2 linked regions of the Caenorhabditis elegans genome follow. The protein of the gene in region 2 interacts with the protein of the main gene of each other region in a pairwise test. Each region holds a gene or a part of one and is shown on either strand. Other genes may lie near its edges.

Region 1 (3,015 bases), on a different chromosome or scaffold from region 2:
AGGGTTTTTGAGAAAAATCAAGGGAAATGAGAAACGAGGGTAGTAAATCGTGATCCACGCGCAAATTACATAAATACTAAATAAAAAACTCTCAAAAATAGTTTATGAACTCGCGGCAACATTTTTTGCATAGTTGTGCCACTTAGTAGAAACACTGAAATTTATGTGCTATATCATTTAAATATTATTTAACGACGTTACTATCATTGTACACGTTTCTCTCTCTAAGTAAGTAAGTAAGTATCTAAGTATCTTAGAATGTTGGGTTGTGTCAACCGTATAGAAGAACTGAAGTATTTCTATGCCATGTGAAATATTTGAGCCCTAATTGCCTTCTCTGTGGAATTCACGTTTTGATGGTATTTGTTCATGAATTATTTTGAATTTTTGTCATCCGAATGCCACAGTTATGTGTCAGACAGCATACTCGTAGTTTTAAATTTTACTAGTCAAGTAGAACCATGCATCATTATGGTGGATAACTATCGTTTTTCTGAATTAGTGCAATTTATAAATTGGAAACAATTAAAACAATATCAAAACAATTTATTTAATACATCAGGGCAAAATATCACATTTAAAAAAACGTCCAAAAACCCCCAACCAAACTCCAGGCAAAATTTAGCAATGATGATGATGGTGGAATGGATTCCAGTGATGATGATGATGATATGGTTCCTCAATAACAACAACTGGTGGTGGCATTCCATACATTGGTGCAGCCATCATTGGTGCAACTGGAACTGGCATTGGAGCAACCATTGGAATTGGAGCAATTGGTGGAGCATATCCCATTGGTGGTGGGACATATCCGACTGGTGGTGGGTATGGGTACGAACCGTTGTAGGGGTTATAGGCCATGGCGAAGAAAGTCGAACTGAAAGTTGAGAAATGTCAAGAAAGTCAGAAAAGCGGCACGAAGAGGGTTAAGTAAACTGATAGGCAAGGTATTAAAAATGAAAATGGAGAAATAAAAACGAGGCAAATGTCATGAGGCCAGTCAAGGTACTGATGGGAATAGGCTGATAGGTCGAGGTATTTTATATCGTTTTAGTATCAGCGGGAAGGAGAAACGCGTCACTTGATATGCAAATAGTGTGACACTTTTCCCGAATAAGTTTCTCCTATTCATCGATTTCGAAAATGAAGGTTCAATGAGTCATTGGAAGAATTGGAAGAATGACATATTTAGAAATAAAAAAAGCAATAAAAATAAACAAATTCTAAAAAAGAAGATCTAATTAAAGAAATAAAAGTTGCCATATTGGAAGAAGTGACGTTAGTATTTGGCTCCCGTCAATATTGACTCAAAAACATCAGGAGCGAAAGCTATGTCGAAATAGAATTGAGGAACAATTGTTTTATTTCTGTCAATTTTTCGTGCTTATGGGAATCACTCAAATACAAATCAATCTAGACGATTCCGGAATCAAAAGTCAAAAGCTTATCAGTAAGCGTACACAAAGCAATCAGTGGTCTTCAAACTTTTGGTAAATAGAGTTCGAGCCAAAGTAAATCAATTCATAGTACGTGCATAAAACACGGATGAAAAATTTGTAAGGAGATATATATATATGGACACTTTGAACTTTGGTTCAAAGTTTGGAAAAAAGTTTAACGCAGTGTTTTTGTTGAATACAAATGCACTTAAATGATAAATTAATTTGTTTAAACCGAGAAATTAATGGTGAAAATTATGTGAAAATGCCCAAAAAAAAAGACTCATTTCATGTTAATATTTTTATTTCTCTACAATTGCTGCTCTTTTCAGCACGAAATATATATAATTTTAGCTCAAGTCCTAATTTTGCCAAAGTTTTAGTGATTAGCAGAAATTCAGCCAATTGAGAATACATTCGCGCTAAAAATACCGATACCTTAACACAGTAGAGCCTTGTTTGATAGCCCGGGGCGAGGTTTTTTCAGTTTTCTATTGTCCAAATTTTTAGTGTCTTTGTTTGTAGTGAAAAAGAAGACTAAAATCCGCGTTTCATGCTTACAACCAGGTCCCACACTCTGAGGAATTGGAGTGTTCACGAAGCAATCGCTACTGTATTTTTACAGTTAAAGTTAATTGGTCCCTAAACATTTCTTTGAATAAAAACGCAGTGCCAGGGACGTCCAATGCTTTACCAATTTCCGAAATAAATTGAGCTCCCAGGCTCACGGAGAAGTTAGTAAAAGTGGAGAGAATAGAGCTGTCAGAAATGGTGCTACTCCTCTCAAAAATTCATGTTAGTTCTGGTTAGAAAAAATGGCGAAGATCTGTCAGAATAATGAAAACAGGTAGCTTAATGGCCAAAATCCAAAAAAAAAAAACGGCGCCTTGAACTATTTCAAAACACATCACCACATTGTGTTTTTATGAATCATCCAGACAATTCAACTGATCTATGTGTTTTTTTTGTTTGCACTCAGGAAGAGGCTCTGACTAATGCAAACAACAATACGTCGGTGTGCTCTTTTTTTAATGCTTATCAGTGTTAAATGGGGGGTTTGTCCTCCGCCATGACGCAATTTCTTTTTTTATGTTTCTGGTGTTTAAATATCACCGAAAAATTTCAGTTAGACATCAGTTCACCTTTCTTAATATTTTAATTTTTCATTCTTTTCGTTTCCGTTCCCGCTCTGAAAATTATTGTATATATTATTTTGTTCTACTTAAAATTTTTCATTTTAGAATTTAAGACAACATGTACGAAAACGGAGGTTACAACCCGTACGGACAACAGGGATTTGCTCCTCCACCAGTATTCGGTGGTCCAGGAGGCTATGCTCCGCCAACTGTTCATGTTCACAATAACGGAGGGCATCATCATGGGCACCATCACCATCACCATCATGGATTACTCCATGGTCTTGGACATGCTTTGACTGGAGGACATCATCATCATCACCATCACGGTGGACATCATTTCGGACACCACCATCATCACCATGGGCATCACTAGTTTATAAACTTTGAAATTCATCTGTAGATTTGTATAAATTGTATATTTAATTATCTTATGAAAT
Region 2 (4,651 bases):
ACGTTTGATCTTTCCATACAATAAAGCAGCGGACGACAGTACATGTCGTGGACCACATAGCGATTTGGAGTCTCGAATCCGGTGAAGATCTCGAGCGGTTCGATGCATTGGACAACCATCAGAGAGTTGGTATGGGCGATTGCGCTGAGGATGTTGTTGCTGGCAAGCTGAACGAAGCCCTGAAAAGTCAGAATTTAGAGCGGTCACCATTAGCTAGAATGACTTACAGTCATCTGAACCGGCATCGCTGCCACCTGATTCGGAATTTTCATTGGCGTCGATCTCGCCGCTGGCAGCTTCGTTCCAGCATTGTTTCTTCTACCGAACCCCGCTCCCTCGGCACGTGGCTCATCCTTCTTTGAATCCTGCTCAACCTCCTCAGGTGACTTCACCGCGGACGTTAAGCTAATTGCTTTCAATGGTAGCTGTCCCGGTTGAATATTCATTTTCTGAAAAAATTATGCGGGTTTTGAGGGAAAACCAAGAGAAATAAGAAAACTCACATAGAAAAGTGTTGGTCACAAGTCGGAAATAAATTAATTTTGAAAATCTGATCTGATTGTACTATGTGGAACTTCACGTCAGATTTAAATTTCTGTTGGAAAAAAATAGGAAATTATCTGCGGAATTGTTGTCTGCTGCACGTGTATTAGTTATCGCAATTTTAACAAGTCATTTGTGCCCAGAAAACGCAATCTTTTGCTGAGAAATTATCAGCTAGTAGGTATAGTAAGAAGAAGCCAGAAAAAACTAGTTTATTCTAGTTTGCAAGTGAATTTGTGAACAGGATCCTTTATAAGTTTAGAAGCTGCTATGCATTCCGCTATGCATTCCGCCGTTACGATGTTGATCCTGGTTACGATCCTCGAAGTAGGTGAAGTCGATCAGGAAAACCGAGGTGACAAGCAGAAGCTTCAAGATTGGCGGCATGTCCATTGGGACTGAAATATTCCAAAATTAAGATAGAAAAGATCAGAAGCTTAGAATAAAATGCTTACAATGAACAATATAGGTGTCCGCATCGGTGAACATCTCCTGCATGAATCCCGGGTAGAGGCGGACAATTTCTCCGACGAGCACACCATTGAAGGTCATCACTGGGAACTTCTGGGTGCCACCACAGCCTGCACAACCTGGAGATTGGATGAGCAGGGGCTGGTTGCAGCCGGATCCGACGAGCTCGAACTGAAAGAAAAGGTTAATAGGATGTGTCTCAAGGAGGATGGGAGATTCAGGTGAAGAGCTAATAAAGCTTCAGCCTATAGGAACGATTGCTCTGATCAGGGGTGTGCGGCAAGTTTGGCGAATTTGGCGAATTTGCCGCGTTAAAAATTCAGTAGTTTTGGTGCTTCAAAAAACATCAAATTTTTCGGAGTTAGTTGAGCTCGGCAAATTTGCCGAGTTTGCCCTTGTACAAGGTGTCATGCTAGTCCCGATGTTGCCGTTCAGCGGTATATAGATATAGATCTATAGATCTACGTATAGTGCAATTGTATAGTGCAATTTATATCTGTAACTTGGTACATTGGTGACGTACGGTCCTTCCGCCTTGCTCTGTGTTTCTCTCTTTTAGTGTGTCAATGCCTAGCCGCTGGGCGGCAGAGCAAAGGCGTGAAACCTGTACGTCTATGTACCAAGTAATAGGCTTTCTAGATAAACATCTTAATACTGAAAGACATTTGGACAGTCTAGTAACCTATAGTCTATATCTATGTCAGTACAAACTTGGCACATTGCAACCTACAGTCCTTCCGCTTTGCTCTCTTTTGTGTATCAATGTCTTGCGGCTGGGCGGCAGAGCAAAGCGGAAAGACTCTAGGTTGCTATGTGCCAAGTTACAGATATATTATAGATCGGACTATAGATAGGGCATCAGGGGTGTGCGGCAAATTTGCCGTTTGCCGAGCACTGCAAGTTTCAAAATTTGCCGCACAGCCCTGGCTCTAAGCTCGATCAAGATTGATGCAAACTCAGATCAGCGAAAAGATCTCTTTTGAGAAAAATGTGATTTTTCCAAAGAATGCTTCAGGGCTCTGGATTACTGTAGTTTTACTTGATACTAGCACTCACATTAGGATTGCAGCACTCCTTCTTCATCATCCCAATCTGCTGATCGAGGAACTGGGTGCTCAGAAAATCATCGGTCGAGCAGCATGGTCTTCCTCTGAAGCACGTCATCACCTGAGCTCCGTGGGTATCCATGATCTGCATTCCGAAGTTACGATCGTTTCCTTCGTACTGACGAGCGAAGATGTTCGATCTTTCCATACAATAAAGCAGCGGGCGGCAGTACATGTCATGGACCACGTAGCGATTCGGAGTTTCGAATCCGGTGAAGATCTCGAGGGGTTTGATGCATTGGACAACCATCACAGAGTTGGTATGGGCAATGGCGCTGAGAATGTTGTTGGCGACAAGTTGGACGAAGCCCTGAAAAGTCAAAAGTTAAAACGATCACTATTAGCTAGAATGACTTACAGTCATCTGAACCGGCATCGCTGCTACCTGGTTCGGAATGACCATTGGCGTAGATCTTGCCTCTGGGAGTCTCTTTCCACCACCTCCACCTCCTCCGAATCCTGCAGCCTTGGCACGTGGCTCTCCTTTCTTCGAATCCTGCTCCGGCTCAACCTCCTCAGGTGACTTGGCCGCAGACGTCAAGCTAAGCGATCTCAATGGTTGCTGTCCCGGTTGTTTGTTCATTTTCTGAAAAAATTTTGCGGGTTTTTTGGGGAACACTGACAGATATAAGAAAACTCACATATCAGATCGTTGTTCACTAGTCGAAAATGAATGAATTTCAATCGAAGGGAGTATTGATTTTATTTGTTGTTTCGAAAATTGAATACGTGGGGAAAAGGGATAGGGCAGAAAGGGCAGAAAGTTCATATTCACGTTTGAACTTATCTAATTTATTTAAAAATTTATTTATTTACCCCGTGGCTCCAAATTTTCTAGAAACTATGAACAAAAACATCCCGCAGCTCTTCCAAAACTTTCTCGAATTCACCGATCTGAATTTTCGGTACTGAACAAAAACTAATAGATTTTCAATGGTTAAGCAGCCAAACTATATATTCGTTTTGTGGATCTTCAGTGAAACACTGAAGATGACTTTGCAGCATGAAACCTGAAACCAGTGGCTCCTGGCAACCAGCACAATAAATTTGGAGCTCGAAATCAGTACTTGAACAAGCAGTGATAACTTGTCAAGCGTTCGCTGAGTCTCAAAGTTATCAACTAGAAGAATGCACATCGACATGTAAATTCTTCCATACAGGATAGTGTGGCAGAATTTTAATTTCTGCAAAATTACTTTGAAACAAATTTTTATCAATCTCCCAGACTAAAAAACTTTTGAAGTGTTATCTGTTGAAATGTGTAAGCTATTGGAATGTTCAAATGTTTATTCAAATGAATTGCAAAACTTGGCATTTAGTCAGCATATGGTGGCCAGTAGTCAATATCGCTGAAAAAAGTTATTTTTCTGATGAACTAGCACTAACATTATCTTACATCGCAGCGTATTGTCTAATTTGGAGTTTGATTGGCGTATTGTCAGAATATGAGTACTCAAGTTTCATGTTGTAGATAGCAGCATCGAGGTTTCCATAGCCTGCTCGAATTGTGCTATTTTTCTGAAATAGCTAACGTATATTCCCTGTTAGTGAGGCATAGGATTACTGGAGCCTGCTCTCGAAATTTATTGTCTTATCAAACAGTTACTGAAGTTATAAAACGGCCACAGTCCCCAGCTTGGGTGTGGCTTAAATTACCGCCCAGTAGGATCACCACCAGGTATTACAAAAACAAACTTCGACCAGAAAACAAAAAAATTTTTGGTCGAACTTTGGACCAAAAAACAAGAAACAAAAAATCGAAATTTTCAAAAAAACCAACAAAAAAAAACTAAAAAAAACAAAAAACAAAAAAAATTTCACGGTTTGATATCAAACGGGACAAAACAGGAATTTTTCATGAAATATTAAAAATTGAACACACGAACGATTGAACAAGGTTTTTTGTTCTCATTTGTTTAATTTTTTGCTGAATCAGTGTTGCAATTTATTTTTTGGTTTTTTTGGTCTCAAAAAACCAAAAAAATCAGTGCACAACGCTTGAAAAACGGATCGACCTTTAATCCTTTAATCATTTAGTCTCTAATCGTGAGGTTATTACTTTCAAAGGTAGTAACCTCAAAAAACGGTATCGTATGAGTACATGTAGGAAACGTTACCTCATTGGATGGGGATCCTGGATATCCATAAAAACCACCATTGGTAGATGATGAAGCATTGTACCAAGAAAGGTAAAATGATTGGAATGTATCAATGGGACCTCAATTTGTAATATTAACAAGTTATGATAATCATATCAAAATTTGTACCATGGTTCTGTACAGTTACTGCAAAGTCGACCCCGGCAAAGAATGTCCCGTTGGGTTTAGTGTGGAACAGTGAAGGCAGTACAATGGAGCCTTTTCCGGACACTACAGGATTCACCGAATAAATGGCTACAGGCCAAAATAGCCCAAAAAAACGAATTTGAGACTGAAATTAATTAAGAGTGAGGAGCGACCTCTGAAATCTTACATCGTTGAATTGATCATCATTTCGAAAATCGGCTAGTCCATTTGTTTTAAATGAGAGGT

Evidence for each region.
Region 1: the proteins of scrm-5 (region 2) and F22H10.3 interact in a two-hybrid assay, tested with the Caenorhabditis elegans proteins (one large-scale study listed by BioGRID).

Annotation. Positions count from the first base shown.
Region 1 is NC_003284.9:16,676,847-16,679,861, forward strand, and holds F22H10.3 (Spore coat protein), read right to left. Parts: upstream 862-3,015; coding exon 622-861; downstream 1-621. Other genes in the region: F22H10.2 (VrrB protein), read left to right, coding at 2,694-2,951.
Region 2 is NC_003282.8:4,160,574-4,165,224, reverse strand, and holds scrm-5 (Phospholipid scramblase), read right to left. Parts: upstream 2,805-4,651; 5' UTR 2,762-2,804; intron 2,707-2,761; 5' UTR 2,704-2,706; coding exon 2,479-2,703; intron 2,431-2,478; coding exon 2,071-2,430; intron 1,186-2,070; coding exon 999-1,185; intron 942-998; coding exon 802-941; 3' UTR 745-801; downstream 1-744. Other genes in the region: scrm-8 (Phospholipid scramblase), read right to left, coding at 1-179, 228-446.